Arabidopsis thaliana: one gene and its partner. The protein of the gene in region 1 interacts with the protein of each later gene in a pairwise test. Each region holds a gene or a part of one and is shown in the gene's direction. Other genes may lie near its edges.

What was found.
Region 2: the proteins of P40 (region 1) and AT3G53890 interact in a two-hybrid assay, tested with the Arabidopsis thaliana proteins (one large-scale study listed by BioGRID).

The regions. Positions count from the first base shown.
Region 1 is NC_003070.9:27,242,025-27,246,445, reverse strand, and holds P40 (40s ribosomal protein SA), read left to right. Parts: upstream 1-1,514; 5' UTR 1,515-1,603; coding exon 1,604-1,748; intron 1,749-2,287; coding exon 2,288-2,550; intron 2,551-2,629; coding exon 2,630-2,827; intron 2,828-2,931; coding exon 2,932-3,151; intron 3,152-3,227; coding exon 3,228-3,298; 3' UTR 3,299-3,601; downstream 3,602-4,421. Other genes in the region: AT1G72390 (nuclear receptor coactivator), read right to left, coding at 71-151, 385-462, 564-628, 716-785, 878-991; ERF73 (Integrase-type DNA-binding superfamily protein), read right to left, coding at 3,669-4,270, 4,356-4,421. UniProt on the Arabidopsis thaliana protein: Required for the assembly and/or stability of the 40S ribosomal subunit. Required for the processing of the 20S rRNA-precursor to mature 18S rRNA in a late step of the maturation of 40S ribosomal subunits.
Region 2 is NC_003074.8:19,954,576-19,958,489, reverse strand, and holds AT3G53890 (Ribosomal protein S21e), read left to right. Parts: upstream 1-2,040; 5' UTR 2,041-2,194; intron 2,195-2,409; 5' UTR 2,410-2,440; coding exon 2,441-2,490; intron 2,491-2,604; coding exon 2,605-2,737; intron 2,738-2,842; coding exon 2,843-2,908; 3' UTR 2,909-3,146; downstream 3,147-3,914. Other genes in the region: UPP (uracil phosphoribosyltransferase), read left to right, coding at 1-1, 232-290, 381-458, 549-630, 738-786, 863-924, 1,088-1,155, 1,228-1,283 and 2 more; AKR4C11 (NAD(P)-linked oxidoreductase superfamily protein), read right to left, coding at 3,319-3,405, 3,505-3,753, 3,843-3,914.

The DNA.
Region 1 (4,421 bases):
ATATACGTTTGGACTGTTTCCAAGAACTTATGGAAGGCTTTATCCCAAAAAATAATTGCAGATAACTCACCTCACATATAACCACCCCATCCACAAATTTGCAAGGTATATCTTCCAAAATGTCCCCAGGAAGCCTGCCAGCCTCAATAGCCTATAAAGCGTACAAAGGGATTAAAAACATTTACTCAGTAGAATGAAACTCAGAAAGTGTATTTAACAAAACGCGAGTAAGTAGTGCAGTGAAATGCATTATTCGGGTAGAACAAGTGGGGAAAAAAAACATCATCTTCACATTTACTAAATCTAAGTACTTTGAATTCATTCACCAAAACTTTGATTACATGTTCAAATCAAGTCTATAATAACATAGTTCGAAAGATTTACCGAAAGGAGACCCTCTGCTGCCCTATCATACGGATGTAAGACCTTTGGAACATCTCGAAACGATATCTGTTGCATAGCCTGGTATTCAAAAACTCAAATTTGTGAAAACGTGAAGGTTTTAAAACTCAAATACAAGAAATCACAAGATAAATAAATTCATATAGACTCTCAGTACATACCTCAGAGGTTTTTCCTATAGAGTACCCATTTGGATAGAGGCTCAATATGAAGGAAACTTCATGATCTGCAGAGAAACCAAAATGCACTCAATTCAACATAGCTAGAATTTAGCAAAACATTATGTGTCAAAGTGGTTCGTTGAGATCCAAACCTGGAGATATATCGGGTAAAGATGGCTTCGAAAACCCGGAAACATCGCCAATATTGCTATCATCAGTGGCCTGAACCAAACGTAATAAATTTTCTATATAACTTTCCAAAATAAGCGAATTTAGTTGGAACACAATACAACTAAAATTCTAAGTTAAATTACCTTTGGTTTCCCAGATAGAACGATTGCTTTTGGGGAATCAGGAGTAGCCAATTCAGTAGAAATCTTAGGTCGAAACTTTCTACCAACCTTCGATATCTTAAACGAGACACCCATGGATTCTCTCCAGAGAGATGAAGCTCAAACCTGTCTAGGTACTGTCAATAAACGATACAGAAATAAAAAAGACACGAGAATTGAAGAAATCGAAGAATGAATTTTAAGAAAGCTAGAGAAATTGAAACCTTATGAGCTTGTTACAGAGAAGATCATCAAACAATTGGATCGGATAGAAAGCGAGAGAAATCAAAGGTGACTAAGAATAGAGCAATGAAGAATTCATAAACATGGAATTTGTGAAACACAGGTGGGAAATTTTTGAAGAAGATGCGATCGGAAGAGAAAGGAAGAGAGATTATTGTTAGGGTTCTTCTTCTAACTTCAAAGTAGCAGAAAAAGAAATTATCTTTTGTGTCTCTGTGCACACTTGGATTTCGGTTTAAGACAAAACGGAAGTTGAACCAGTTATTAATTTTGGTTAGCTTCGATTAAAATTTGGGTAACCGAGTTTGGGGGTAGAATAGACATTTTGCAAATTAGGGTTTTGCTTGATATATAAAATCCTTCACCCTTATAAGCCTTTCGTCGCCTCTTCGTGTGATTTACTGAGTGAAAAAAGCTTATCGCGGCGATTAGTTCCCGGCGAAGAAGAAGAAGAGAGATAAGAAAATGGCGACTAATGGATCTGCTAGCTCAGCGCAGCTCTCTCAGAAGGAAGCTGATGTCAGGATGATGTGTGCCGCTGAGGTTCATCTTGGAACCAAGAATTGCAATTACCAGATGGAGCGTTACGTCTTCAAGAGACGCAACGATGGTAATTTCTCGTATATTTTTTGATAAACTATCTGTATGTATGTATGTTGATGGTTATAGTGTTGAGATTCTGTGTTGATATTTCGGATTTGTATAAATGTTGATGATCTGTTTATTTGGTTTATGCTGCTTTGTTTTAGATGGTTTTTGGATTTATAGGTTGTTTTATTGTATCGAGAGTAGATTTTACTCACGACGGATCTAAATATGTCGCTGACTGAGAAAAGATAAAATGTTGCAACTAGCCGTTTTTGTCAGCACGCTCACTTCTCTGCGTTCGTATCTAAGAAAAGGCTTTTGTTTCTGTGTCTTCTCTAGTGTTCTTGTTTACAGAAATGTATGAACAAATGATCAAAGGCTCAAGTTTCATTTCTATCTCTCTCTGTGTGTTTGTAAAAAAAAAAAAATTGAGATTTTAGTTTTGACTGATGTTTGAGATTGTATTTGTGCTAGTGTGTGTTATTGTTGCTCTTTTATTGTAATTTACAATTGTAAGTGGTGAGTATGGAACTTAGTTTTTGAAGTTTTCGTCATTCTCAGGTATTTACATCTTCAACCTTGGCAAAACATGGGAAAAGCTCCAGATGGCTGCTAGAGTTATTGTTGCCATTGAGAACCCACAGGACATCATCGTCCAGTCAGCTAGGCCCTATGGACAGAGAGCTGTGTTGAAGTTTGCTCAGTACACTGGAGCCAATGCCATTGCTGGAAGACACACTCCTGGTACCTTCACCAATCAGATGCAGACATCCTTCAGTGAACCAAGGCTGTTGATTCTTACTGACCCAAGAACTGACCACCAGGTAAACTCTTCATATGATTCATATACTAGTGATTGATTAATGATTTTTGTTATTGATAAATGTCTTGTGTGTGTTGCAGCCTATCAAGGAAGGTGCTTTGGGAAACATTCCAATCATTGCTTTCTGTGACACAGACTCTCCAATGAGATTTGTTGACATTGGTATCCCAGCCAACAACAAGGGAAAGCACAGCATTGGGTGCCTTTTCTGGCTTCTGGCTCGCATGGTCCTTCAGATGCGTGGAACCATTGCTGCTGGACAGAAGTGGGATGTCATGGTAAGAATATCATTCTTGGAGCTCTTAGATTAGAAAGGCATCTGTTCATTAAAAACTTTCCCTGTTTATTGACTGAATTTTTCATATGGTATGGTGTTGTGCAGGTTGACCTGTTCTTTTACAGGGAACCTGAGGAGACTAAGCCAGAGGATGAAGATGAAGCTGGCCCTCAGGCAGAATATGGTGCACTTCCTGCTCCAGAATATGGAATGGTAGGTGGAGACCAATGGACCACCGCTCAGATCCCTGATGCTGCATGGCCAGGAGAAGGTCAGGCACCAATCTCTGCTGCACCTGCTGCTGCTTCTTGGAGTGATTCCGCTGGTGAGTTTTTGATAACCATTTGAACCCTATTCTAACAGATCTTGATTCTAATGTTATGTTTATTTTGCTGTTCTAGCTGCACCGGCAGATGGTGGATGGGAAGCTGCCGCGCCACCCTCAGGGGCACCAGCTGCTGGTTGGGAGTAAAGTTGATAGCCTTTACTCAATGGTTTAATGGTTATAGACATGCTTTTTTGTTACTTTTGGGATTGAAGAGTTATCGAACCGTAACTGTTTTTTCTTCTCACTTGTTTCTCTTAAGACCCTTAGATGTTTTGCACCTTTTTGTTTGAATCGAATCTATATTTTGCGTTTATCACAAATATGAATCGAGCTTTGTTCTTCCCAAACATTATTCTCTACATTCTTACAACTTAAAATATCGCAATCTTCAAAACAATAGTCGTAGTGGCCGTTTTTGTTTGACACTGGCTAAGGTTTGAAGAATAAATAGCAAACAGACAAGTCGAAGAAGAACTCATTTAAAACACTCATGTCATTTGTACAATAGAACCGTTCAGGACCATAGACCCATGTCATTGCCTCCATCAAAGAGACTACTCAGAGACGTTGAGGAATCACAGTTTCCCTCCGTAAAAGGCATCTGCGAGAAATATTCGGTCTGGTTCTCAAAAGCAAGAAGCTCTTCAGAAAGCAGAGAAGCATCAACGTTGTTGGCTTCTTCACTATCATTAGGTTCATGTTTCTTATTCGCATCGCCCATGATGATATCTTCGAGCCATTGTGTATCAATCAGAAGCGTGTCCGGATTATTCTCCTCCCACAAGAAATCAAGACAGCTACTACTAGGCGCTGAGCTTACCACCGCCACATCAAGATCAGCCTCATGATTCTCCTCTACCTGTTGCACAGTCTTAGCCTTGGCTTTCCTCTTTCCAGAGGATTCGTTAGGGAAATTGAGCTTAGCTTTGGCTCCACGGATTCTCTTAGCTTCAAGATCATAAGCTCTTGCAGCTTCTTCAGCTGTGTTGAAAGTCCCGAGCCAAACTCGAACTCCTTTGATTGGATCACGTATCTCAGCCGCCCATCTTCCCCAAGGCCTTCTTCTGATTCCTTTGTACCGACTGCTCTGTTTCTTCTTCCCATCTGATGCTGAGCCTAGCCATGGATAAAGTTCAAAGCTTTGAGACATAGAACCAAACGATGAACATACAAAACATCAGAAAACAGAATCGTAACTCACCTGAAGCATGATGTTTGTGAGTAGAGGAGAAGACAAATGGCTCATCGGACTCTAATTCATCGAAAT
Region 2 (3,914 bases), on another chromosome or scaffold:
AGTGAGTAGATAAGATTCTTATGAGTATTTCTGCGATTTAACCAGTGTTTGTTGTTAAAGAACTGAATTTTACATCCATTTTTTTTTTTTTTTTTTTTGATTCGTTGGACAATCTTTAGCTCTTAGATTGGTGTTATCTGCTACATTGCGTTTGAATATGAGTTTTTTTAGGTTTGCTACTAGTATAAGTCTGTGTTGATCTTTAAAGCTTGAGTTTTTTTAATTATCTAGGGAATGCAATAGCTGAACTAGGGAGATTACTCATGTATGAAGCATCACGAGAGTGGCTGGTGCGTAGAATTTCACATCTCTATTATTCTTGAATTCTTCCTACCCGTTTTTTGCTTATTGTTTTTTGTTTTTTGCTCTATGCGGTTAAGCCAACTGTTGTGGGTGAAATAATGTCTCCAATGGGTCCTGCTTCTGTTGAATTCATTGATCCTAGAGAGCCTATTGCGGTTTGTTTATCCCTCAAACTCTTCCTGTCTATATTTTCTTTTCGACCTTACATGTAAGCGTTTCTAATTCTTGGTTTTGTCTCTGTGTAGGTTGTTCCGATATTAAGAGCTGGTCTTGCTCTTGCGGAACACGCATCCTCAGTTTTACCTGCTAATAAAATTTATCATTTAGGTTAGTAATCTAGCTATATATCATCTCTTGCCTGAACTTCGGATGTCAAAAATGAAAACTTTTATCAAATAGCTTATTGATGTCCCCGTGCTTCTTTTCTTTTACAGGAGTAAGTAGAGATGAGAAAACACTTTTACCATCGGTGTATCTTAACAAGTAAGAACTTCTCTGCAGCATTGTGTTTGTAGTTACTGAAGTGTTTATAATAACACCTTTGATACATCTTCTTTAGGTTGCCTGATGAATTTCCCAAGAATTCAAGAGTATTTTTGGTCGACCCAGTGCTTGCCACAGGTAAGAAAGTCTTATCATTTTAGCCACCTCCATATTAGAAGTATAGTTAGGGTTTGATGTTCAAATGTACACGATAATATGTGAATGTGAACGCATGACATGGTAATACGAATGTTTCATAGCTAGAAGCGTAGGTTTAGTAACTTAGTAACTTGTATTTTAGGTGGTACCATAATGGCGGCGATGGATCTATTGAAGGAACGTGGTTTGTCTGTTCAGCAAATCAAAGTGGTAAGCATATATATAGGAAACAGCTTTTGTCAGAAATCGAAGTGTTAATTGTTTTGATTTTTCTGATTACAGATTTGTGCGATTGCTGCACCTCCTGCACTATCGAAGCTTAACGAGAAATTCCCCGGGTAATCAATAGCAAAAGATCAACTCTCACCTTGCTTACCATTTAGTTAACTCTCTTTTTACTAAACTGTTTGGCTACTATTTGAAACATTTCAGGCTTCATGTATATGCTGGAATTATTGATCCTGAAGTCAATGAAAAGGGGTAAGTCATTAGGTTCTTTGGCTTTCCATATGAAAACTGGCGATTGTATTTTAATGTCCTTATGTATTTGTCATGAACTAGGTACATAATCCCTGGGCTTGGAGACGCTGGAGACCGCAGTTTCGGGACAGAAACACATTGGGTGAAGTGATACTTGTATGAGTTGTTAAACTTTAACAGTCACAATCGTTAGATTATATATTGTGTCTCTTGTACTTTGTTTTTGATGTGTGATTTCAGGTTCTTGAGAGGGTTTCGATAAAGAGTCAAAATTTCACAAACAAGAAAAACTGAATTCCTCATTATTACAAAACAGAGAACAAACTTGTCAACCATTTTATGTGTATCATTCTCAATTGTCTACCACAAACCATTTTGGGAAAAAGTATGCAAGAAAATCTGAAAAATTCATCCATGAAGCAAACATTTGAACCAATAATAAAAGTTTGTTATCAAATTGAATGAACTTAAGTTACTACCAAACTGAACCAGTATTTATGGTTTGGTTACGTTCGATTCCGGTTACAATTAACTGTCGGTACAATTCTGGTTGAAAAAGTTTAGTATTTCGGTTTGATTTAATTTTGTATACCGCTCTAATTGGATCGGTTTTTATTGCTCTTCAATTAAAAGTTGAAGGGTATAGTAGTCATTCCTATGAAATAAGCAAACCCTAGCTCGCTACTATAAATCTAATAAACCTATGAATTAAGCAAACCCTATCTTTGTCGCCGCCAAACCTCTCTCAGATTCTTCTTCTTCCTCGCAGGTGAGAATTTCTCCGTAGTATCTTAATCTCCTTTCACTGTATTGCTAATTAACGCATCGGAATAATCTAGGTTTCGATTTCAGAATTAGTTATCTCGTTGTGTCTTTTGTTGATTATATATTATTGTTGAATGTGATCAATTATTCTTGATGAATCTCTTAATTCGAGGTTCTATTGCTCATCTGATTAGTTTTTTTGTTTGTTTACTTGCTCAGATCGATTTTTTTTTGAAGCTAAATCTCAAAAATGGAGAACGACGCAGGTCAGGTCACAGAGCTCTACATTCCAAGGAAATGGTATATATCAGCTCTCTTTGTTCTCTGTGTAACGTTTGATTAAAATCTTAAGCTAATTGTCTTAATTAAGTAGCCTAAGCTGATTCTATTGTTGTGTAATGGTAATTTGTTTAGCTCGGCAACAAACAGAATGATCACATCAAAGGATCATGCTTCAGTTCAGCTTAACATTGGTCATCTTGATGCTAATGGTCTCTACACTGGCCAATTCACCACTTTTGCTCTCTGCGGATTTGTCCGTGCTCAGGTTTGTGAATTTCCACTCTGCTAATTACTTTATAATCATCTCCACAGTTGTTATAACAAAGTTCATGATTGTATATGTATATTGACATTATGATTGCATCTGCAGGGAGACGCAGACAGTGGCGTGGACAGGCTCTGGCAGAAGAAGAAGGTCGAAGCTAAACAACAGTGAGAGACAATCTGACAATGTCATAAGCTCTTGTTTGTTTTTTGAGGTTTCGATTTATTAGCTATGTGGCTTTGTCATTGAATTGAAAATGTTAGTTTCTCTTTATGCGAATTCATGTTTTCGATTTTTCTGCTTTATTAAAGATAATTATTAGGCTTTGAGGCCAATGGAATCAGATTCTATCTACAGTCTAATACTCGTCTATATTTCTCTTTCAAATATAACTGTTAGATTATCTATCATCAACCTCTCGGATTAGTGATTTACTGTATGAACATAAGAGATTGTTAATATGTCTGCAAAATCCTACTTTTATTGAAAATTGAATCGTTTACACATTCTCGATCAAAGCTTAAAGCAGTGGAACTTTGTTCTTTTTCAACTTTAAAATTCAACAAAAGACATCTTTTGATTCAGATCTCACCATCCCAAAGCTCTTCAAGTGTTTTATAAGGACTCAACGTCTCATGAACAAACGACGTGCCTTGGACTAACCTAGCCTGCACAGAGATGATTCAAAATCCAAAATACAAGAGGTTACAGTTAAGACTACTCACAGATACGAAATTTGCAGAAATGTGGTTTATTGTTTCACTTACCTGCTCTATCTTGGAAAACTTGTCAAACATTTCTTTTGGAATAGACCATCCCAAGACATCAAAGTTCTCTCTGATTCTTCCTTCATTTGTGCTTTTGGGAAGTATACTATGACCCATTTGAAGTCCCCATCGAAGCGCGGTTTGTGCGGGAGACTTCCCGATTTCTTTAGCAATCATTTCAATAACCGGACTCTTTAAAACATCGGCCTTCACCCACGTTGTTCCAGGAGATCCCAATGGCGAATATCCCTGCCACAATCAACATTCACGAAGTGTATATAAATATGACATTCGGACTCATTAAATGATTTGGAAATGTTTAGTGTTTTAAAACTTACTGAGAGGTGGATCCCTTTGGACTTGCAAAACTCATGTAGCTTATGTTGTTGCCATGAAGGATGACATTCCAC